Linked DNA regions of Arabidopsis thaliana. The protein of the gene in region 4 purifies or fractionates together with the protein of the main gene of each other region. This does not show direct contact. Each region holds a gene or a part of one and is shown on either strand. Other genes may lie near its edges. The genes, in order: NPH3, PKS1, PKS2 and PHOT2.

Region 1 (6,908 bases), 2.2 Mb from region 4:
TCAGTCAGGAGACCAGACTCGTCTATTACAATGTCCATTTCCTCTACGGTTTCCATCTCATGCGGCTGCAGAACCAGTGAAACTCTCTGAGTTACAAGGTATAGAGAAAGCTTTCAAAGAAGATGGTGAAGAGTTTCACAAGAGTGATGGAACAGAGTCAGAAATGCATGAAGACACTGAGGAGATCAATGCATTGCTATATTCAGATGATGATTATGATGATGATTGCGAGAGTGATGATGAAGTAATGAGCACTGGTCACTCTCCTTATCCAAATGAAGGAGTTTGCAACAAAAGGGAATTAGAAGAAATCGATGGTCCTTGTAAAAGGCAGAAACTACTGGATAAGGTCAACAACATCAGCGACTTATCATCACTTGTGGGCACTGAGAGCTCCACACAACTCAATGGATCTTCCTTTCTTAAGGACAAAAAGCTCCCTGAATCAAAAACCATATCGACCAAAGAGGACACTGGTTCTGGTCTGAGCAACGAGCAGTCGAAGAAAGACAAGATCCGCACAGCTCTGAAAATACTCGAGAGCGTAGTCCCTGGTGCAAAAGGAAACGAAGCGCTCTTACTTCTGGACGAAGCAATTGATTACCTAAAGTTGCTGAAACGAGACTTAATCTCCACAGAGGTTAAGAACCAAAGCTCCACCACTCACAAGTCACCAATCTTGTTGCTTAAAGAGACAACATGGGGAACAAGAAATCTGCAGACAGATAAGGCGTGAAAGATTCTGACGAGTTAAAACGTGTGAAGTGGGTTTTTGGGTACGTATCCTCTGCACCAGCTTTTTAGCTGTATATAGTGGACTACTTTTAAGTATTATATATGCTACTGCAAATTTCAAAAAGTTAAAGAAGAAAAGAGGTCACTTTCTTCTTCTCTCTGTGTGGAATGAAAAGCCAAAGTCGTCATGGTCATTGATGGACAATGATTATCTTTTTTGGCTGAGTGTGGATGGTGAAATCAAAAGGCAAATATTCAAAGTCTCATCTCAAGCTCGCGTGATCTATGAATCTCCCCTAAGGTAATAAAATATCTCTGACCCACACACACTCTTTTGTCCATATGATGACTAGATGGGTCCATGATTTTTATGAAATATTGATGTCATGTTCATGTAATTAATTTGAGTGTCTGTAATAATGCAAACTATTCCTTTGTCTTTTGCTTCAACCCACATGCTACTGGTATTGTTGTGTCTCTATTGTTGTATTGTTAAATGGTTTTGTAATAAACAAATGGCGTTTTTTGGTTTGTGATAAAAATCGAATCGTTTATGTCACTTATTCCATATTAGAAACCAATAAACATTACAAATTAGGAACAAACAAAAGCTTTTTCTTTTCAAAGAATCAAAATCAAGAAGATACAAAACCATCACTATCACTTCATGAAATTGAGTTCCTCCATCGTCTTGGTTTCCTGGGGGGTGGATGATCAACACCAGCTTGTTCTCCTCCAGAGGATATGTCATGGCTCTCCTGTCCACTCATCTTAGTCAGTTTACTTAGCTTCTTCCAACCGCTGGTCCAAGCCGAAGAAGATGGCGTGTTCTTCACTTTCCCCGTCTTCTCAAACTGTCGTTGCATCACTTCCATCTCGTTCTGAAGCTCGACGTACTTGGTCTTCACCGTCTCTAACTCGAACTTCAACGTGTTAATATCCTTCTTGGCTGCAGCCCATCCTTCCTGCATTCAAAGTAGAGGAATTAGAAAAAAGGAATTTGTGTGAATTTTGATGAGTGTTTTCTCTTACTTGCCTGAAACGATTGTGGTGTTGCTTCGATCAATGTCTTGCGATTTGGGATCATAGGCTGATACGTACCCATGGCTTCTCCTAAAGTGGTTGACTCCTTGAGTGATGTGTTGGCTAAAGCATTGCTGATCTTGACTTGCTCCGAGAAGAGAACTTGAACCACCACTCTCAATGGCAACCTCTCGTTCTGAGCCGCGTGCATACATGCGTCCATTGATAGTTTTTGACAATCCATCACTCGGCATAGCCGTTTCCTCTCATGCTCCGATAATGTCGGATGCGCCTATCACAACAAAATTAAGCCAAAAAAATGTTGAAAACTATTCTACGAATTTACCAAAAAGACCTTCAATATATATATACCTTGAGATATGAATCAATGGCTCTGTATAGTCCATCGTCACAAGTCCTAGCAGATTCCGGTAACGCCTCAGCCAAAACCTGAAACTTTGTCAACGGCAAATTCCGATCTCTAGCAACTTCGGTGAGATAACTATCCACAAGCCTCGCCACTCTCATTTTCGCATTCTGATTATTACCACCACCACCACCACCATTGTTGTTATTCCCTCTCGGGATATCGGCGTACATAGACTGCGACGGCGACGGCGACATTCGACTCGGACTCGATCCTTCCGTCTGTTCTTGCACAAGAAAATGTTCCAACAATCTCTGAACAAGATCAACATCGTACATTGTCTCTCCTTTATTGTTATAACCAGGAATCAAAAGATCTTGAAGCGTCGCTTGTTCGAATTGCATCCCTACGCGTTTCTCGAGCTCCGTGATCAACGCCGGAGCTACTTTGAGCATGTTTGCTGCTCTAAGAAGACGGAGGAGGAAGCTACAAGTGACGGAATCTTTCTGTGGAGGGATTATGCTGATTAAAGATTCGACGATCATTCGTTGGTCTTTTGGACTGATTCCTAGTCCGGCGAGACAAGCGACGGAATCTTGATGTCCGTTTGTTTTTCCGGCGGAGAGAACCATATGAAGACCGCCTTTCCAATCTGGTCCGGAGCTTCCTCCGCTGCTGTTGCTTCCGCAGCTTATACTCATTTCGTCTCCTCCTAAACCTAATCCTCCTCCAATGGCGGAGGACATTGCTGGAGCTATTGCAACTCCTCCTTCTTTGATCAAACCCGGAAGCCATTTTCCGGCGTAATGCATTATTACAGCTCCGAGTAGTTCAAATCTCATACCTTTCACCTGTTTCAATGGATAGAGGATTGAGATATGTACACCAAGTGTTTGTGAAAATGCTTGAGAGAAAAATAACCTATGTGTAGTAGTACCTTGATTGCAGTGATTACACGAACGAAATGATCGATTCTTAAGATGGAGACATCTTCGAACCACCAATCTGGAGGAACAGGCTGGCTATTAGTGTTCCTACTCGGACTACAATAGAAACTTGAATCTTTTGATTCGTTCCATCTCGGACTAGAACCCGCGAAATTTGTTGTTGATGGAGATGGAGCTTTCCCTGTGTAAGCCCATCTAATACCTTTTGGATTACTACAAGCTTTCCAAGCGATAGATTCACTACACCTTCTCACAATCTGAAGATTCTCAGCCCAAGGTGAGAGCTTTTCACAGCTCTTCAGGACCAAGATGGAGTCTCTCCATGAAGACAGAACCACATAGCTGAGAAAAGCTTCTGTCTTGAAGATTAGATTCCCTTCCTCAAGATCCTCTGTCATCTCAAGATACTCAGCTGCACAACGTAATCCTGATATGTTAGTTGCCGTGAGATCCACGGGAACTCCATAGCAGAATTTGGATGCAAGCTCAAACGCTTCTGGTCCTCCAGGTAGATCATCAAGAATAAGGATCGTCGGGTCAGGATCTCGTGACTCATAGATCAATCTGTTCATCTTCCCGCTACGTGACAGCAACGGATACTGAAAGGAAAGAAACACTTTTAAATCCATAAACTTTCTCTAGTTCCAGCTTAAAAATATTGACTCAAGAATATGAAGTTACCTTGTGAAGGTGAAAGTTCATGTCGCCGATCTTAACCAGAAGATCGCTGGGGATATCCGTAGCAACAAACCTAATCATAGGCAAAGGTTTTTGATATGAGTATTAACTTCCTTAACAAGGAAACATGTTCTTTTTGCAGAGACTGTAGAGAAAGTGTGAGGATATTACCAAGATTGGCCTCTAAGCTCAAACCCATCAGTCTTGACGCCGCCATGCTTGTTAGAACTCAAAACTCCATCACCATACTCTCTTCCTCCTCCACCTCCAACTCCAACCCCACCGTCGCTCTCAGATTCCCACATCATACACAAGTTAACACTCTCTGTAGTTGGAAGCAAGAAAGGACCAAGGGAAGATATATAGAGGATGAGAAGATCAAAGTGAAACAAAGAGTTTCCAAGAGAAGAGAGATTGATTAGTTTTGATTATAAAGATGAAAGAGAGAGTGGCAAAGAGAGAGAGAAGAGAGAGGGAGATATTATCCCCACATGGGATGCTTCGAGAATTGGAGCTTTCTCTGAATTGTCTATTTTCTCAGAGAGATTTTCAAAACCAAAGTCTCTCATATATCTAACAGCCTGTGATGTAATGGGCTTAAAACTCTCTGCTTCTTCAATTATCATAATTTTTTTGAAATTTAGTGATATAAATTTTGCCCATTCTTATCATATAATTCAATCTGTCTTTTTTAGATTTTACATTAAACATTATTAGTTTACTGACATTGTAGTATGTTTTTTAGTGAAGATATGAGTTGGTTAAGTAGAGAAAAAAATAAAATATATATATAAGATTTGGGGAGGGACAAGTTGGAGAGTGAGTGTCATTAACTATGACAAAGCCTCGTTCCTTCTTCTTTGCCTGTCTGTTTTTTGATAAAATGTTGAATCATCTCTATGTACATTGCATTTAACTTTCTTTTGGTATCTTTGCTTTCTTTTCCTCTTTGAGGCTTCTCTTATATGGGTCCATTTCCCTAACTTCTCTTCTCAATCTTGCATATCTTTTCTCTTACTTTCTTTCATATTATTCCTCTTTCTTTCCCCCAATTCATAAATGTTTCCAATGTGATTAGTTCTATACCAATTATAGAAACCTTGAGTTACTGTTACATCTAAATGAGTTCTCTATAAATACTGAAATGTGAAAGTGATTACTTTCAAAAGCACTAACCACCTACGGGTTACAAAAAGTAGATTAAAGTCATACTATCAATTTTGAGAAGTTATGACATTAGATATTATTTCAAGAGATAAACATATGATGTTGTAGAAATTGTATTCACAATAGTTTTCAATGGTTGTTGGTTGATGACAAAGATAATAGAAGGAAAAGTTAGAGGAAATTTAAAAGAGAGCATTAAAAACAAAGGTTGTTCATACATACATAAATGGAGATCGAGATAGAAGAAGTGGTCCATAAGAATGTCAGCTATGTACATTAATACACACGATGGTTATATATGTATTAGTCGTAATCTTCTCTTTGCTACTATATATAGACCATGCATTTCTCCAAGTAACTTTTGATTAGAATGGTAATTTCCTACGACAACAACAAAAAATAGGTTATGGAATTCTCCAAGTAACTTAGGATTCTATGCAAAGTATTTGCAGAACCAGCTTGTATTCATGTGTTAAATCTAACTAGTGTTACTACAAGAAAACCATCAAACGTTTACGATGAAAATATTAAATTGTGAATTCATATGGTACAACAATATTAGTCACTTTCAATTTTAATTTTTTTCAGTAATTAGATTAGAATGATAACACTTTTTTGTACAACTAATCCTCTTTAGTTATGTTTTCATGTTATAAAGTGTTTCAATCACATAGTAGATAGTACTATAGAAACATTTCCATATGATAAAATGATTGATGGTCATATTCAATAACCAATCCAATCACCACGTTAAAACTCTTACCCCCACATATACAATGCCATAATAATTATATAATGGCCACATCTTGATTGGATTGTTGTTACAAGGGGTTAAAACACTTGAGATCAATATCTTTTTTCTTTTAAATACACAAAGTAATAATCATGTGATCTTTTTATGGCTTACATTATTGATGATGGTCGTGGTAATACAAATGCCACGTCGCCTTCATATGTTAAAAGCTAATATAAAATTGTCGGTTCAAATCAGACAGGATATACTCATCCGACGGCTGAAGGAAAACGTTATAATAAATCTAACGGCCAGGATCAACTCAAGGTTACTTCTCTTGTTTTTGTTTGGGCTCAGAAGGGGCCCAAAATAAAAACAAAGAAAACAGGGCCCAAAATAAAAAGAATAAAACATATTCGAGCCCTCTAACTTATAAGGTTTCAGAGACCAGAAGGGTAAATTGGTAATTACCGATGTTCTAAAGTTCTTCTCGCTCGTAGGAACCAGAGAGATTCTGTCTGATTAATGTGGGGTTTATGGTTATGCTAGCGAGATCAAAGCTAGCTCTAGATGTGAGCAGAAGATCACAGTCTTTGCAAAGAATCTGCTACTACGCAAGTCTCTCCTCTAGATTTTCCGGCGGCGGCGGAGATGATGGCGGCGGCAGCTCACCGGAAATCGGTGGTACCGATTCAGCAAACGAATGGGAGAAGCTCCTTAAACCATTCGATCTGGATTCTCTAAGGAATTCATTTCACAAGATAACTCCCTTTCAGCTCTATAAGCTACTTGAGTTACCTCTCAATGTATCCACTTCAATGGAGTTGTTCTCATGGACCGGTTCTCAAAACGGTTATCGTCACTCCTTCGATGTGTATCAAGTTCTTATAGGTAAGCTTGGTGCGAATGGTGAGTTTAAAACCATTGATAGATTGTTAATTCAGATGAAAGATGAAGGAATCGTTTTTAAAGAATCTCTTTTCATTTCGATTATGAGAGATTACGACAAAGCTGGTTTTCCTGGACAGACAACGAGATTGATGTTGGAGATGAGGAATGTCTATTCCTGTGAACCCACTTTTAAATCTTACAATGTTGTCTTGGAGATTTTGGTTTCTGGTAATTGTCATAAAGTTGCAGCTAATGTGTTCTACGATATGCTTAGCCGAAAGATTCCTCCAACGCTTTTCACATTTGGTGTTGTGATGAAAGCTTTTTGTGCTGTTAATGAGATAGATTCGGCTCTGTCTCTGCTTAG
Region 2 (6,198 bases), on a different chromosome or scaffold from region 4:
TTGCTATCTGGGCTTTCACGAGTCGCCCATGCGTTGCACTACTGCATGGGCCTGGCTCAACCCGCCAATTTGAAAGCCCAATATTGTTCTTTGTTTCATATTTTTATTTAATCATTGTTAAATACTTACTTTGCGTCGATACTTATCATTAACCACTCTTTAGGTGCCACGTGTGGAATATGTCCCTCCTCAATCAAATTCAAAGGTGAAATTTTTACACGGCGCCGTCTCCTTGATCTCGCCGTGGACCGTCGTCATTGATCACAATTTAGTGATTCTCTTGGAGCGGTTTTAGATGATGAATTGATTTGCTTTTGTTATGTTTATGTGGCGCTTGTTCGTTTTGTGTTTAGGAAAGAGACACAAAGAAGAGGCTTTTTTTTTTTTTTTTTTTTTCCAAAGAAGAGACTTTGTTTTCGATGTTTTGAATGTTGATTTATGGGCACATTGCCACATTCCTGTTGATTTCATTGAATTGGATACTTTAGAGAGACAGAGATTTCAGACGAAACTGGACTACTTACGACATCTAAACAATGGGTTCTTCAAAAAAGAGTGTAGAGTTTATGATCTTCTTGAAATAACTGGTAATGGTTTCACTCGGGGCAATTGAACATTAAACGTTACTTGGTAATCAGAGGCAGAGCACTGTGATTGTTATCTTTGTGAAAATCGAGTGATCTTTCCTTTAAAGGTTTATTTTTCTCATGTTATGATACACTTAGGGGTGCTTTAAAAAGATTTGATTTTCTTTATGTTGGCATATGATCATTATTTCCTTCTCTCTGTGGAAGATATTAGGAACTGACACATAGCTAGAGACAGTCAAGAATCCTAGTTTTGATGTACTGTTACCACTTTGTTGTCAGATAATATAAGATTGTTATTTCTATAATCATCATCTGTTCCTGAACCTATGTTTGGGGTTTTTTTGTATTCTTTTGGTAACATGAAGTAATGGAGATGCAGCAAACGACCACACAAGACTCTTCTCCTTCTCTTGGTGGGCTCCTGAGGAACGAACCCCTTTCACATCAAGACAGTGAATGTTTCACCACAAACTCTATGGAATTAAATAGAAACTTCTCTCAGCCATTTTTTGTCATGTGGGATCAGAGTCTCATCTCATTACCAACTTGCCTTTATTCACTTGACGAAAGAGAGCAAGCGGATGCTTTGAGGCAATGTCCAACCAAAGAATTCAAAGATGAGTAATCTTGTTTTGCTTTCTTAACACAAAATGTCTTCTTGCTTTTGTTGTTCTTCTCTCATCCACATATGAAAACTAAGTAGTTAGATGATTAGATTTTTATATATAGTGTGGTCAATTATTTTCTCATATCTTTTGAGAAGGGTACAATACTTATCTTCAAGATCTGTATGTTTCTTGGTTTTAAGCCCATACTAGCTATACTAGCTTTGATGTCATCATCTTGGTTTCATTTATGTCTTTTCTTGAAATCTAATTAGCCCTTTTTGAAATATCTTACAGAGAAATATCAGTGAACTGGATAAGATCATTTGGGGTAAATTCGATCATTTCCCTTATGAGTAGGCTACAGAGACAAACATCTTTGATCTTTCTTTGCATTTATTGTCTTAGTAAGGCACTTTGGTTCTTTTCTCTCATATTGTCAACTAGCAATTAAGGTTTTGTCTACCTTACTTTTATTTCAGACATATACATGGCCTTTAGATGAGTTTCAGGACCAGATCTTAGATATGTTAGGTAATATGACACTTTCATTGATTTAAGTTTCCTCATTAATAGCTCTTTCTGTCAATCTAGTGTACGTTTGATTTAACCCTTTCAAGCTAAGACAAAACTCATATCTCTCTCTCTTGAGTCTTGAGACTAAATCCAAAAAAGGTAAAACTTGGTGGAGCCAATTTTTGGAATGTCTCTCTGCTTATTTTGCTGAATTTGAGATCTGTGTTTTTAACTGACCATAATGTTTTGTTTTCACTCTCCAATCATTTGTCACTCTTTGAGTAACTTTTTCTTAGGTGCAAAAGGTCTCTAAGAAACCCTTTTAAATTGATTTGATCATGGACTCAACAAGACATTATTATAAGTTTACATATCTTTCTCACTCAGTAGAAATTATAGATAAAGAGAGATCAGAGATTGAAATCTTTTTCTTTTACTTTCTTGCAATCACTGACTATAAAGAAGAGATGATTGTGTGTGAGAAATCGAGCTGTTGCTGATCCTTCTTCGTGTTTCGAAACTCTTAGGTTTAGTAGTCTCCATTGGGAATCTAGGAACGTAACTCGGTTGTGTCTTGTTCATGCTGCTTCTTCTGTCTAAATCACCAGAAACCATAACAGATTTATGACTCTTGCAGCTCATCAAGAAACCATTCCCTCCGCTGCTGCTACTCGATTTCCGTCTCTGCGGTGCTGATTTAGCGGTAATAGGGATTCGAGGAATCTGAGTAGGTCGGTTTCTTCTTACAGGACTTGTTGCACATTCTGACATAACAGAGAAATCTGCTGCACTTGCTGTCACTATGCTCCACTCTACGCTTACTTCACTTGGCGCATAACACGTAGGTGAAGCTGGATCACTTCCTTGCCTCGTAAGAAAAGGTTTAGGGTTCCCTGTAAGACCCTCTATCTCGAAAAGATCCGAGCTTGAATCACTCCCTTCACTCTTTGTGTCGTCCTCCTCTGTTCTCGATTTCCATGGAGGCAATGGTAGTTTCTTCTGAACAACACTACTCTTCTTCTCAATAGCCACTGGAGATCCAAAAACTTCAAGAGACTTCCTCTGTGATAACTCCTCTTGCTTCTGAATCTTGATCAGTTCTGTGTTCATATCCGCAGAAGATCTCATTGTGATAACAGAGATATTCGGATCAGCGCTTCTCTTGACCGAGGTTTTCTCCTCGACATCTACAGAATCCCCATCAGAGCATGCGCATTTACACCCCAAATTTGCGAGAAAACTCTTCTTATTATTGGTCACCTTTTGAATCTGACCATTACTGTTCTTCTTTTCCTTGAAGGAACTGTTGCAGCTATTCACCAGTTTGTTCTGAAGCAACACGCTCTGACTATTCCAGCTTGATTCAGACCGGACACTCGGAGTACCAGTAGATTTCTTCGCGCTCTGCTTCGAGTCGACGACGGTTCTCTCAACTTCTGGGTTTGTCAGAGACAGAACACTAGAACCTTGGTCTGAATCCATGTCTCCATTGAAGTACTTCTCAGCTCCAAACACACCAATCTCTGGATCTTCAGGAGCTTTCTTCACCATTTTCTTCTCATCACCAAACTCCTCTTGTTTTGGATTAATGCTCATGTTTAGTGTTTTGCTTGGTTCCATGAGCTTCTTGGTCGTGACAAGAGCATCTTCCTTGCTGCTCAAGTAAGAAGAAGAAGAAACATAGAGACTGCTGTGACTGTTGTTATTCTTCATGAAATCAAAAGATGTTTTTGGGGTACTAGCAGAAGATGGTGTTAGTGTCACCATTTTCTCTTTGGTAGCTTTATATTTTTTTCTCTCTTTATTGCTTGTGTGTAGATATGTGGAATTAGGGTATAAATAGAGTAACAAGACGATATGTTTGATAGCTGTTTTTTTTTTTTTTTCTGAAGCTAAAAGTGTTATGATCTGATCAATGTGAGTGGGTTCCAGTTTGAGTCATTGGCCAGTTGTTGTGTGTGTGAACTGATTTATTTATATATTTGGATAATGAATCTTTGCCAATCAATGGAGAATAATCGAAAAATAATGTTACCCCCGTGACCACAAAAGAAAGGAATTATAATGATATGGTCTTAATTCGATTAGGACTTATTAATACAACAGTACTAGTATACTACTCACATTGCAACTGGATCTCTTAAATAATTTTCTAACCTGCAGATTTCAGAAAGTGTTTTTTTTTATACGTTCAATATTCGTATTTTGTACGTAGACGTTTAGCACTACTATACGTTTTTAAGATTCCGATTTAAAACACATTTGCTACTATATTTGTAGCAACTAAAACCAACTCCAACCGTAGTTTTTTAGTAGAAACTCATACAATTACAAAAAAAAATTATAAATTAAAAAAGAGATGAGAGAGAATCTCTAAAATTGGGAGGATCGTTTCTATTATTCATATAGGTTGTTTTTTTTTGTTTTTTGGATATAAAAATAAAATATTAATACTTTTTGTTTTTTTAGAAACTATATGAATCCTATACATTGGAGGTGCTCTAATGTACAATCCGTTCGGACACGTTAATTACAGATGGGGGTGTATGGCTATATACTTCACATTCATACGATTGTTGAACCTTGTGAGATAATTGAGATGATTAGCTTTAGCAAGAAGAGATGATTTTGTTGGATTGTGTGCAGGTTTAAAACAATCTGATTTGCATTGAGGACTCTCTGTTATAAACCAACATTTTTTTATTATTCTTAAAGGACTCTCTGTTATAAACCAACATTTTTTTATTATTCTTAAAGGACTCTCTTAATTACTTAAACTAAAATTTTGATTAGCATTGTATGTTAAAATAAAATAATACATTGGATAAATAAATTAAACAAAAACATACATTGGATAAACTTATTAACCATCATACAATTAACAAATTAATGACATCGTCAATAAGATCGGAAGATAAATGATTGGATTTTACCAATGGTGTCAAAGAGTTTTACATGAGAAAAAAAGTAGATTTAATGTATTGTTTTTCTTAATTACTTCAAATTAAAGTATTGTTTCACATACTTAATAATGGGCTGACAAGTTTTCGGACACACATTTTCAAAGACATGTTAGGATTGAGCTGACAAGTGAATCTGGATTTACTTGTATTTTAACTTCTAACTTTTTTCAACTAGAAAAGTAGTGGATATGGATTTCACTTGAGGAACAAAAATACAAAAATAGAAACTTAGAAAGCACGAGGGATGTACGTATTTTGTTGCATGGGGAGATATTGACAAAGACCATCGAGTTGGGTTTTGTTAAATATAGTAATATTTTATGTTATGATTTGACGTACGCTCTATAATTTATGTGTAATGTATATTAGAAAATTCATGGAATCGTATCTTGTCATATAATACATATCAAATAATGTGTATTGTTTTTGTTAAATATAACATAACGAAAGATTAATTAATTCAAACATAAAATCTATGTATCTGTCAATCAAGAATATTGTGTAATGTAGTTAATAAAATATGCTTATTAGTTGCTATAGTCGACGTATCACGTATGAATGGTTCGAATTGATCCCACAGCATACGTGTTTGTTTCTCAACCACAACCTTTATTCGTCCAACTAAAACAAAAATGATCATTATGAGATTTACCACAAACCACAAGCATGACTACAAATATCAAAACTAATAAAAATTGATTATATACCAAAACGGTATCACCAATTTATGATGTACTACGTATACTTTCTAGTACCGTTATCTGATTTTTAATTATCATTATATAGGATTTTTTTTTAAATGTCTCTTTTACAATATTTATATAAAATCATATTGTAATTTACAAAAGCTGAGGTGATTGGTAATCCTAAAGGCTTCCATATGCATATAAAATCATAATTTACAAAATTCTTAGATATCTCGAGAGTTTTGAAGATTGCAAACCGGAATGTGTTCCAAAAAGTTGTAATCAAGCGGCAATTAAAAAACTCTAATTAACTTAACTTTAACTATTTTTGATATTGTTCAAAGTTATGGATTTAAGGATTGATAATTTCGGTTTGAGTCAACTCTCCCAGTAAACAAATGCTAGCAATATAGGGGCGTTTCAAGTTGCAGAAAAACACACTAATTGTCTCTAAAGTCTACAGCCAGAAACACAATCTGATAGGTCCCAAAAGCAACAAACACACACAAAATCCCTTTTTAATGGTAGTTTAAACTACCTATTTGTTTTGATTTTCTGATCAATATATGGAAACAAATGAACGATGGAAATGGAATCAATCATGATTCTTACAACTTAGGGGAGACGGAGAGATGGTGAATTGCATAAACAACTAAAAGAAAAGCACTCATTCAAAATCAACGTGAACCAACTCAACCTTCATGTCCGCGTTATCCCTTTTGGTCTCACAATCTATTCCATGTTATGCCCATTATTGTCTATGGATAATGTTTGGCATATACCAGTGAAATTTGTTGGACGAAATGGTTTAACATCCCGTATATTGACAAAGAGGTCG
Region 3 (5,264 bases), on a different chromosome or scaffold from region 4:
AATTGACACTTGGCAATATTTCATTCATCGATATATGCACCTCAACAAGTTCTTATACAAGCACATCCACTCTCAGCATCATCGCCTTATTGTGCCTTATTCGTATGGAGCTCTATACAACCATCCACTAGAAGGTCTTCTCTTGGACACTATTGGTGGTGCTTTGTCTTTCCTCTTCTCTGGTATGTCCCCAAGAACAGCCATCTTTTTCTTCTCCTTCGCTACCATCAAAACAGTAGATGATCATTGTGGACTATGGCTTCCGGGAAATCCATTTCACATCTTCTTCAGTAATAACTCTGCTTACCATGATGTTCACCACCAACTCTATGGAACCAAATACAACTTCTCGCAGCCATTCTTTGTTATGTGGGATAGGATTCTCGGCACTTACTTGCCTTATTCATTGGAGAAAAGAGCCAATGGAGGATTTGAAACACGGCCAATCAAAGTATCCAAAGATGAGTAATTTCTCTTTCTTTCTTTTGGGGCTTCTTGTCAATGCTAAGTCATCATTTTGCTCGTTAGAGAACCACTGTAACCTTTGCGTACTTGTAATTGTACATACAATTCCAATCTATCCTTTTTTCGATCTGCGGGCATATGTTTCTGTGTAAGCCAGCAGTAAATTTATCTTGTAATAGCCAAAACTTCAGATCTTCTCTGTTATTATTATCTGCTTTATAATTCCAGGTTTTGAGACCTGTGAGAGTCTCATTGATCTCCTTTGTTACGAATTGACATACGCAGAGTCGTTGATTCTTTCTTTTATGCAAAGGGCTTCTCGCTTTTGTTGTTCTTATCCTCTCCAAACATGGCAGCAACGGGGTAGTTTTTCTCTATATAGTTAGTTTCATAGACTAAATGAAGTCACTGTTCAATTATTTCAAAAGTGGACCTTTGAAAAGGATACAATACTTATCTTCAAGATCTATTGATACTTTGTGACATGGTTGATTGGGTTTAATATCAAAAGGTTGTTTCTTGATTAGATCCAGCTGTAAGATCTGAATCTTGAACTAAAACTTTAAACTGTATGACAAATCAATCTTTTTCCCAAAACCTAACATTCCTCCTGAGTTGGTTACAGAGACATATCATCATCAATGACACAATTAAGGTTTTGTCGACGTCTACTTTATCTCATTATCATCACATGGTCTTGACACTGGAGATGAGTTCTGGACCAGAAGACTCTGGAGTGGCTTTTAAGACATGTTAGGTGAAAGGACACTATCATTGTTTGATTGAGTTTCCTCATTAAAGGCTCTTTTAGGCAACTCGTACGGTCTTTGATTAAACCGTTAAATCTAAGCCTAATGAGGTTATCTTTCTATTCTTGAGACAAGCACATGAAAATGAGGTGGACCAAATGTGTTTTGTGTCTAGTCTACGTGCTGCATTTAATTATGTCTCCTAAGTCAACAAAAGGTTACAATCACATCTTAATATTTCACATGGAATTGCACTCTTGGTTATGTCTTATTTGCGGATTAGACCCAAGTGTCTATTGTTCACATGGTGCAGTTCCTTATAATCTCTGGCAACAATAGATGAGTTCTTGGCATCACATTTCATCTTTTACTCATTTGTGGTCAGCAGATAAGTATTGATTGATGATACAGATTGATTTACACTTCTCTATCGACATTCTTCCTTAATAAACCAGTTAAATCAAAAACTACTGTTTTCAGGTACAACAATATGAAGATGGTATTAGCAAATCAAATATTTTCCACTCAATAGACATTTTACATGTAAAACGAAAGGAGCTCAGGTTTTTGGCATAATTAAGTATACAAAAAAGGCGATTGCGTGTGAGAAACAGAACTACTGCTGATCCTCCTTCTTGTTTCAGTGCTTGTTGGATTAGCTTCTACAGGGAATCTTGGAACATAGCTCGGTGTTCTGTTCATGCTTGTGTATGAATCACCAGAAACTCTGACAGATTTATGACTCTTGCATCCCATTAATAAACCGCTACTGCTAGATTTCCGTCTCTGAGGCGCGATTTCTCGGTTTGATTTTGCCATGATAGGGATTCGAGGAATCTGAAAAGACCGGTTCTTTTTGACGGGACTCGTAGCACATTCAGACATAACAGAGAAATCTGCTACACTTGCTGTCACTACACTCCATTGTATGCTTACCTCACTTGGTGCATAACCATCTGGTGAGTCTGGATCACTACTTCCTTGCCTTGCAAGAAAAGGGTTTGCCTTCCCTGTTAAGCTCTCAATCTCAAAAAGATCCGTACTTACATCGCTCACACTCCCATCTTCTTCTTCTTCATACTTCACAGAGAATCCATGTTCTTCTTTTTTCGCAGAGCTCGAGTATTCCCATGGAAATTTCTTCTGAATGATTCTCTTCTCAATAAGAGGAGATCCAAATATTTCCAGAGACTTCCTCTGCTCTAGCATTGCTTCTTGTTGTTGTTGATGAATCTTCATCTCCGAGCTTAGATCTCCAGAGAAACTCAATTGAGTCTTGATCTTCTTCAGACCAGAGCTTCTTCTCTTGTCGTCGACGACATCCACTGAACTCCAGTTCGAACACACGCATCTGCAGCCAAGAGTAGCGAGAAAACTCTTCTTATTACTCACCTTGTGATTGCTACTCATATCCTTCTCCTGAAAGTAACTGTTGCAACTAGAGTTTTTCTTGATGTTCTTCTTCTTCTCTACATATTTGCTCTGAAGCAACAAACTCTGGCTATTCCAACTGGATTCAGACCGAAGACTAGGAGTTTCCGAGGAATTCTTCGAGCTTTGCTTCGGACCAACAAAGATTCTCTCTATTGGAACTTCTGGATCTGGCAGAGGAGACACAAGTCTAGGACTGTGGTCAGAATCCATATCTCCATTGAAGTACTTCTCAGCTCCAAACACACTGATCTCCAAATCTTCAGAAGCTTTCTTGTTAATTCCAAGAACATCATTGGTGATACCACTCATTAGGTTCTTCTGGGTGAGAGCATCTTCCTTGCTTGTCAAGTAAGAGAAAGAAGTAGAAGAAGAAGAGAAAGGACCATAGAGATTGTTACTGTTATTATTATTGTTCATCATGAAATCAAAAGATACGTTTGGAGTTGAAGAAGATGAAGTTAAGGTCACCATTTTGTTTCTTTTTGTGTATTACTATTTCTTAGGGATGATTTAGATTTGAGTAATATAAATAGAAGAAATGAGGAAGTTCCTTGTTTTTTTTTTGAAGCTATGTCGTGTGGGTTCCATTACTGGGACAAGACTGCCTATTTGCCAGTGATTTTGTGCTAATGTATAAACAAAATATTAATTATATTTTGTCTTGGTTATAAGGAAAATGAAAAAAGAAAAATAGTGGACATGATTCTCCCAAGGAACAAAATTACAAATTAGAAGACACGAGGGATGTACGTATTTTGTGATATACTGACAAAGACTTGTCGTCGAGTTAGTTGGTCGTTAATGGGCTTTGGGCCTATACTGACATAAATGGGCCTTAAACAACGTTATTTTAAGTAAGTAACGGTTTTTTTCTACCCGCTCGTTTTAGTCGGATCTTATCCTCTTCCTCAATCTGATAATCGTGTTGGTTCATGTGTGGAAGTTCTCTAAGAACAACAGAAAATTTCAAAATGGTTTCTCAGATAATCTCGTGTTTATCTCAATCTTCGTCTCTTCTATGTTTATCCGATTCAAGGAGGTTAATTCTTCCGAAGACTTGTACTTACGGCGGTTTGAGCCGGTTTTCTCCAGGATTTGCTAGCCGCCGGTTATTTACGGTTAATCGGAAGAAATGGAGATCGGCCTGCATTTTCAACTCTGGAAAGGAACCTGGAGGAGAGGGAAAGGTTACTGTCTCACTGACTCTATCTAAATTAGATTCTTGTTTAGTTTCCGGTCTGAATTTTTCTGAGGCAGCTCTATGTAACTTGTTCAATTGAATCCAAATTCTATTGGAATGTGAAAAAAGACTAGACCTTTGAGAAATTATTTGAAGTTTTGATTGTTATATTTGTTGTAGTTACAAGGAGGTAGCTCAGAGTGGCCGATACTTCAGAGATGGGAAGTTCCATGGGGATGGCAGACAGTTTCGTTAACTTCGTTTGCTTGTGCACTAAGGTACTCTCATCAAAAGCTTTCCCTTTTGATGACTTTAGGGTTGGAGTTTGATGAAAGTACATAGACTGTGTGCTAAGATAAATGTGATGGTTGAGTAGACTGATCTGAAAGATAATCTCTCTGTTATGGTTAAATAGTTTAATGTTCAGTGACTATTCTCTGTGTAATGCATGGAGTGAGATTAATTTTGTTCCCAGGCAGTTTTGTTTTGACAGGATTAACCGAGATGGCAGTCATACCGTTTTTAGGAATCGACGTTGAGAAACTGACCTTGGACGATAAGGCGGAGATTTTGTTCCTGGATCAAGGGTAACCAAAAAAATACTACTCTTTTGTGTATTCTTTGCTCTTTTTTACTCTGTTAATGTAAACTCATTATATAATCTCGTTGCTTTAGCTGATTTCACATTGTAAAATTAGTTATCTCTCTTGAGGTTTGGCTTATGTTGAATAACATTGTCTAAATATTTGGCAGCCTAACAACCGCGGTGGTACTTGCTGTCATATTCACTGTTGCCAAAACCTTCGACCCACTTCCTGAAGATATTCTTCGCTATGGTACGTTTTTTTTTTTTTTTTTTTTTTTTCTATCAGCATGGTTTGCTCTTTTATTGGTAGTTGACTGTTTGTTCGATCGTCAGATTTGAGACAACCCGTCAACCTGCAAAAAGGATGGCTTGTGTGGGGTGGAATCGGTCTGGTTGGTGCTGTTGGTGCTATTGCGTTAACAGGTGTTGTTTTATCCGTGTTCAGGACAGAAGCACCTGAAAGGGAGGTTAGGAGAATTCAAAACCATGCTTTATGTTTTGTTTTCGAAATATTTGTTGGATAATAGTAATGAGGCCTAGTGTGATGTTTTCAGGTAGACTCTTTGATGAAGCTTCTTCCATTAATTGGATCCTCAAACATAAGGTATTTCCTCAAAGAAATAGAAACTGCGATGTGCGTTAATACTAGAATTTGATCACACATTGCACATAATACAGCACCTTAAGCTTAGTGGGCATAACTGGAATCCTTGCTCCACTTCTGGAGGAGACCGTGTTTCGCGGATTCTTCATGGTCTCTCTTACCAAATGGTAAAACCTCTGTTCTTTTTTCTCATTTGGTTCTGGACAAAAGCTTACTACATTTTGTTACGTTCTGTATTTCAGGGTC
Region 4 (6,189 bases):
ACCGTATTAGCATCTGGAAGCTCTCTGACAGCTTCATCTACATTTGTTGCCGTAGCTTTCACCTAAAATTGTGACCAATGTCATAGTCTCCTTTGATAGGAAAGAGATGTTCAAAAAACTCAGTAGGATATGAACCACATACCAATTTCGAACTCTGCATCTCTGTTCTCTCAGACAAACGATTTTGGAGGGGCTCTACATGATCACTTCCATCAAGCTGCACACCGATGAAGTATTGAAGCTCTCCCTAATAGATGAATAAAGTCATGTAATCAGCAACAATGCACGGTTTTCTTCAAGAATCGGAATCCAGATATAACAATAATCTCACGAAGACCTTCTGATCACGCATAGGTTGCAAGTGGAATAAGTTCCAGAATTTCTTTCCTGCAATGGTTTAGAGTTTTAATGACACAACCACATAGAAACTTTTCAGTATGATCGTTTTAAAATGTTCAGTATCTGATAACTACCGCTTTTAGTGTAGTTTATCAACTGCACAGTAATCTCCCTCTGATCTCTAATTGCGTCTCTTATCTTCTGGACAGTCGCTTGATCTGTCTCTGGCCCCTGAAGAAACCTGAAGCCAACCACTTTGCACATATCCATATCACGAAACAACAAAAACGCAGCCGGAGAAGACTGCATAACTTAAAAGGCATGATAAATCTCATGAGTAGAAGATACAAAAAGAAGAATTTTCACATACCGACAATTTCTCCCCAATATTTCCTCGCGTGAATACTCTGTCAATTCAAGAAAGCTGTCTGATGCAAAGATCTGCAAATAAAACGATTTCCATTATCAATTCAAGATTATATGCTTACAAACATAGTAGAACACTTGAGTAAGAACAATCAATATATGAAATATACTCTACAATTGATACATTAAGGTTCGAGAAAAAAACGTTCATCTCAATTTTAGACAGAAAAAACATACAATGGGATTATCAGGGAGACGAGGATCACTGATGACGAAATTCTTCTCTATGCGCTCAAGAGTGGTAGCTAGATCAATCCCTTGGCGTATATCCCTTTCTCTATCCGATAGGTCCCAACTGTCCCTCTGCCCTATTACTTCTGTGCTCAACATCAATTCTTCGGGTTCCATACGTAAAAGATCTTCATGCCTGTTATTCGAGCTTTTGAGCTTTGACCTGCACATTACACGAAGCTAGATCAGAAATCCTTGAGTGTATATGTATACATATATATACACAGCTTCAGAATTCACTACCCAATCCATGTCAGAGGATACATTCTAAGGCCCAGCACAAAGTTACAAAAGTACACGAGAAATAAGAAACAGAACAATAGTAGGAGATTGCAACTGCATCTTCGTATTCGAATGGAAATTATCTATGAGTTAAATATTGACTAACACAACAACTAGATTGAGATTGTGTAGTATATATTTTACCACTATTTGGCAATGATAATAGCAAGTTGTTTCTGCAAAACTTTGGCACTGCCATCACACTTTTTGGGCAATATATATGCCTTATTTTATGTTCAGGAAGACTACTGTAATCTGGTGGTTAGTGGTTACGAAGACTCACCCCGTTGGAGTAGAAACACGTCCAGGTGTCCTGAAAGACTTTGAAGCCTCATCTGACTGTCTTGTTTGTCTACCAGGTGTAGGTGTAGTAGAACTATCAGGCTTTACCATAGTGTCATTGCTCACGGATTCCTGAACTTGAGACTTACGATGTCTTATAGTTTGCACAACCTCTGTGATGGAATCCAAAGCTTTCTCCTTCTGGCGAGCTGATATCATCATCAAAACCATTACATGTTAAAGATTGTGGATCAGCACTCTTTGCTAAATTATATCATTGTTTTTGGCTAAAAAAAACTTGTTGAATTAACGAAGAGATGCAAAAAAACAGATACCATCATATCGAATCAAGGATTTGGAGAGTCCATTAGGCCTCAATGCTTTATCATTTACCCCTTCTGTGTATTTGCTAACTTCAACCTGCATCCTGCAGATGGAAATGTGAAAATGATTGATCGAGGGACAGTCGATTAATTAGGGAAAAACAGGGAGGAATTAAGGGACGTACCCAATGAACTTGATGGTATTGCCCTGGTCGTCCTTGATAGGAGTGACTGTGAGAAGATTCCAGAAGGGAGTTCCGTCCTTTTTGTAGTTTAACAGCCTTCCACAGTAACTTTTTCCATTCTTGACACAATCTCTGATTTTGGCAACCTCATTCTTGTCGGTGTCTGGCCCTTGCAGAAACCGGCTGGCGTTTTACCCACAAAGATTAAGAGCATTTCAGAGTAAGTTGGCATGGGTTTCAAAAGCAATATTATTCTAACTAATAACTGGGAATGAAACTAGAAGCAAGATACGAGATGAGCAGTACCAGTTTCTTCCAACAATTTCCTTGGAAGAATAACCAGTCATGGTAAAGAATCCACTGCTGGCATAGACTATGGGACAGTGAGGCTGTGTAGCGTCAGAGACAACAAAAGTCTGCTGCAACGTGGATAGAGCAGTTTTGAGCTCCTGGGATACTCTAGGGAAGGCCCCTGATTCAGAAGATGTAGATTCTTCGGATGACCTCCTAGACATGTTCTTGCTTCGTTCCACTTCACTGGACAGCTTGAAACTAATGCCATCGTCTCCCGAATCCGGCTTAACAGCTGACAATCCCCATTCAGCGGTTCTTTCTGTAATCTTAGCGGAATCTTGAAACTCCATCCACTTACTACTACTACCTTTGTTGTTGCCATCAAGAGGAGGCTTTGAAGAAGAAGAAGTTGATCCATGTGTCTCTTTTCCACTCGAAGGGTTGAAAATCTCAAGAGATCTACGTTCACTTAATGACTCCGCATCATTCAAAGGAGATGGAGGGGCTCTTGGCCTCTCCATAACGTTTCTTTATTCTCTTTCTTATGGCGAAACAGAGTAATGAATAGTCTGCAAATCAAAACCAGACACCACATAGACAAGTTAGATAGAAAGAAGAGGCAGACACAACTGTAGGTTCGAGAAACAAAGTAATAAATGCCATTAAAAGTCTTTAGAAGCAAATCAACAAAACACGTTAAAGAAGGTGAAGTAGATAAAATAAATGAAAAATATATATATACCAACCAGAGTAGCTTTATCAGCTGCAACTCATGGAAATATAGTACACAGTCTTTAAAAGGAGCAAAGACGATGAGAAAGATAGAGAGATAGACCAATTAAAAAACACAACTGTACTGTTTCCAAAACCCAGTTATATTATTATTTGAGTTATTTTAAAAAGACAATCATGTTTCTGAGGCTGCAAATGAGCGATGCGGAAGCCTGGGAGGATAGACATCGCTATCAATAATCAAACTCACATGGACCCTTTTTCACCCTCAAGGTCAAGGACCACACAACTCTGTTTCCTCTTAATACGTGCACTCTTGTTCATCATTCCCTCTTCTTTCACAAATTTTCTTCATAATCAAACGAATTTATTACACCCCTCACATCAATTTTTCCAGTACAATAATTCAGACATGTTTCAATGTAAAATGAATAAACAATAAATAGATAAAACCCAGTAAACTTACGATTGTAGTAGAACAGAACATGCGCCATGATTTGATTAGACGAAAAATGAACACGTTTAAGAAAATGACTGTGGCTTCTTCTCTCCCAGATGCTTTCGCAGACGACGAATCCACAATTTGTTTCTTCTTTCACTGTCTGTTTCAAATAATGTCGATGAAATTAAAGAGAAGGGACCCCTAAAAACTTGTTAGGCCTTATTATTTTCCCGCTAAAAGCCCATTAAGTCCTAGTGGGTCTTCTCTAATGGGCCTTATTAGTTAAGATTAAGAAGTAAGGAAAGTGAGGGAGAGGCGAGGGAAAACTGAATCCAACTGAAGCAAGCAGCAATGGAGGAAAAAAGCAGCGGCGGCGGCGTTAGGCTTCACGTCGGCGGATTAGGAGAAAGCGTCGGGAGAGATGATCTTCTCAAGATATTCTCTCCGATGGGTACCGTCGATGCCGTCGAATTCGTCAGGACCAAAGGTCGTTCCTTTGCCTACATCGATTTCTCTCCATCTTCCACCAATTCACTCACCAAGCTCTTCTCTACAGTGAGTGAATTCGATCTCTCTCTCTCTCTCTCTCTCTCTCTCTCTCTCTCTCTCTCTCTCTCTCTCTCTCTCTCTCTCTCTCTCTCTCTCTCTCCTTACTCTTGTTATTCTTAACCCTAATTCGATTTTGGCAGTATAATGGATGTGTCTGGAAAGGAGGGAGGCTGAGACTGGAGAAAGCAAAAGAGCATTATCTAGCTCGCTTAAAGCGAGAGTGGGAGGCAGCGTCTTCTACCTCTGATAACACCATTAAAGCTCCCTCCGATTCACCACCTGCCACTCACCTTAACATCTTCTTTCCCAGACTCAGAAAGGTACTACTAATGCTCCTTCAAAGTTGTAACATTTATATGACATAGTTAGTACTAGGAGTAGTAAGAGATTAGGGTTTGAGCTACGTATGTGTGGTGCAGGTGAAACCTATGCCACTTAGTGGAACTGGTAAACATAAGTATAGCTTTCAGCGTGTTCCAGTGTCGTCTTCTCTTCCAAGGAGCTTTTGTGATTGTGAAGAGCACTCTAACAGCTCTCTCACTCCTCGGGAAATACATCTTCATGATCTGGAAGCGGTTAATGTGGGAAGACAAGAAGCCGAGGTGAATGTTATGAACTCGGTGATGAATAAGCTCTTTGAGAAAAACAATGTGGACCCCGAAGAAGACAATGAGATTGAAGCAGACCAAGATAACCTCATCATCAATGTGGCATCTAGTGGCAATGATATGGACTCAGCGCTGGATATGTTGTCTAGAAAACGGGTACGTAGTGCTACTTATATTTTTTCTATTATACTTAACCCAATAATGAGTCATCTACCTCATCCCTGATCTGGCTCTTTCTTTGATTGTAACTCAGAAATCAATTCTCAACAAAAAAACACCAAGTGAAGAAGGATATAGTGAAGGACGAAAAGGGAACCTTACTCATCCAAGCAAGAATAGGCAAACAATCAGCCTAGAGGAAACTGGAAGACAGGAATCTTCACAGGCCATACGTGGAAAGAAGAAGCCTTCTGAAGTGGTACCAGATAAATCATCGGATGAACCGAGCAGAACAAAAGATCTTGAGCAGTCAATCGACAATATTTCCTGGTCCCAAAAGTCTTCCTGGAAATCACTTATGGCAAATGGGAACAGCAATGATTTTAGTGTATCCAGTTTCTTGCCAGGTGTTGGCTCCAGTAAAGCAGTACAACCTGCACCACGCAACACTGATCTTGCTGGGCTTCCTAGCCGAGAAAATTTGAAGAAGAAGACGAAAAGAAAGCGTGTAACGTCTACAATCATGGCAGAGGATTTACCTGTATCAGATGACATAAAGAGGGATGATAGTGACACAATGGCAGATGACATAGAGAGGGATGATAGTGATGCTGTGGAATATTACACAGCTTGTGAATCTATGGCAGATGACACAGCTAGTGACTCTGTGGCTGAGAGGGATGATAGTGATGCTGTGGAAGATGACACAGCTATTGACTCTATGGCAGATGACCCAGCTAGTGACTCTGTGGCTGAGAGTGATGATGGGGATGCTGTGGAAAATGACACTGCTATTGACTCTATGGCCGATGACACAGTTAGTAACTCTATGGCTGAGAGCGATGATGGTGATAATGTGGAAGATGACACAGCTATTGACTCTATGTGCGATGACACAGCTAATGACGATGTAGGTTCAGACGACTCAGGATCACTTGCAGATACTGTTAGTGACACAAGTGTTGAAGCTGTCCCCCTGGAATTTGTTGCAAACACAGAGGGCGATAGTGTGGACGGCAAGTCGAATGTGGAGAAGCATGAAAATGTAGCAGAGGATTTGAATGCAGAAAAGGAAAGCTTAGTCGTGAAGGAAAATGTTGTAGATGAAGAAGAGGCGGGTAAAGGACCGCTGAAAGCTAGTAACAAGTCAACAGGAGGTTCTTCATGGCTTCAGAAGGCTTCGTGGACTCAGCTGGTTAGCGACAAAAATACTTCTTCATTCAGTATAACTCAACTCTTCCCAGATTTAACTTCAGACAAGGGCGAAGCAGCTGGAGTGATCAACAATGTAGGAAACCAGTTCTCCAACTCTAACCAGACTGCAAGTGCAATGAAAC

Evidence for each region.
Region 1: the proteins of PHOT2 (region 4) and NPH3 purify together in Arabidopsis thaliana (affinity purification with western blotting, with the first as the bait; one study listed by BioGRID). This does not show direct contact.
Region 2: the proteins of PHOT2 (region 4) and PKS1 purify together in Arabidopsis thaliana (affinity purification with western blotting, with the first as the bait; one study listed by BioGRID). This does not show direct contact.
Region 3: the proteins of PHOT2 (region 4) and PKS2 purify together in Arabidopsis thaliana (affinity purification with western blotting, with the first as the bait; one study listed by BioGRID). This does not show direct contact.

The regions. Positions count from the first base shown.
Region 1 is NC_003076.8:25,724,718-25,731,625, reverse strand, and holds NPH3 (Phototropic-responsive NPH3 family protein), read right to left. Parts: upstream 4,501-6,908; 5' UTR 4,059-4,500; coding exon 3,922-4,058; intron 3,824-3,921; coding exon 3,754-3,823; exon of another isoform or gene 3,702-3,753; coding exon of another isoform or gene 3,672-3,701; coding exon 3,063-3,671; intron 2,977-3,062; coding exon 2,131-2,976; intron 2,051-2,130; coding exon 1,772-2,050; coding exon of another isoform or gene 1,721-1,771; intron 1,701-1,720; coding exon 1,401-1,700; 3' UTR 1,268-1,400; downstream 1-1,267. Other genes in the region: transcription factor SAC51, read left to right, coding at 1-736; AT5G64320 (Pentatricopeptide repeat (PPR) superfamily protein), read left to right, coding at 6,187-6,908. UniProt on the Arabidopsis thaliana protein: May act as a substrate-specific adapter of an E3 ubiquitin-protein ligase complex (CUL3-RBX1-BTB) which mediates the ubiquitination and subsequent proteasomal degradation of target proteins.
Region 2 is NC_003071.7:852,991-859,188, forward strand, and holds PKS1 (phytochrome kinase substrate 1), read right to left. Parts: upstream 3,736-6,198; 5' UTR 3,479-3,735; coding exon 2,159-3,478; 3' UTR 1,087-2,158; downstream 1-1,086. UniProt on the Arabidopsis thaliana protein: May be responsible for light-regulated cytoplasmic sequestration of phytochromes or may be a negative regulator of phytochrome B signaling. Component of the network that modulates the very low-fluence response (VLFR) branch of phyA signaling.
Region 3 is NC_003070.9:4,875,512-4,880,775, reverse strand, and holds PKS2 (phytochrome kinase substrate 2), read right to left. Parts: upstream 3,271-5,264; 5' UTR 3,120-3,270; coding exon 1,791-3,119; 3' UTR 1,469-1,790; downstream 1-1,468. Other genes in the region: SBH2 (sphingoid base hydroxylase 2), read left to right, coding at 1-469; AT1G14270 (CAAX amino terminal protease family protein), read left to right, coding at 3,581-3,835, 4,009-4,106, 4,308-4,415, 4,582-4,664, 4,748-4,881, 4,969-5,018, 5,093-5,185, 5,261-5,264. UniProt on the Arabidopsis thaliana protein: Acts predominantly in the phot1 pathway. Involved in the leaf positioning and also in the phot2 pathway controlling the leaf flattening. Component of the network that modulates the very low-fluence response (VLFR) branch of phyA signaling.
Region 4 is NC_003076.8:23,521,465-23,527,653, reverse strand, and holds the start of PHOT2 (phototropin 2), read right to left. Parts: upstream 3,830-6,189; 5' UTR 3,561-3,829; intron 3,525-3,560; exon of another isoform or gene 3,444-3,524; 5' UTR 3,109-3,443; exon of another isoform or gene 2,932-3,108; 5' UTR 2,884-2,931; coding exon 2,375-2,883; intron 2,252-2,374; coding exon 2,069-2,251; intron 1,988-2,068; coding exon 1,896-1,987; intron 1,770-1,895; coding exon 1,562-1,769; intron 1,160-1,561; coding exon 943-1,159; intron 781-942; coding exon 710-780; intron 581-709; coding exon 474-580; intron 388-473; coding exon 338-387; intron 248-337; coding exon 143-247; intron 63-142; coding exon 3-62; intron 1-2. Other genes in the region: ROS3 (RNA-binding (RRM/RBD/RNP motifs) family protein), read left to right, coding at 3,888-4,091, 4,226-4,405, 4,505-4,849, 4,947-6,189. UniProt on the Arabidopsis thaliana protein: Protein kinase that acts as a blue light photoreceptor in a signal-transduction pathway for photo-induced movements.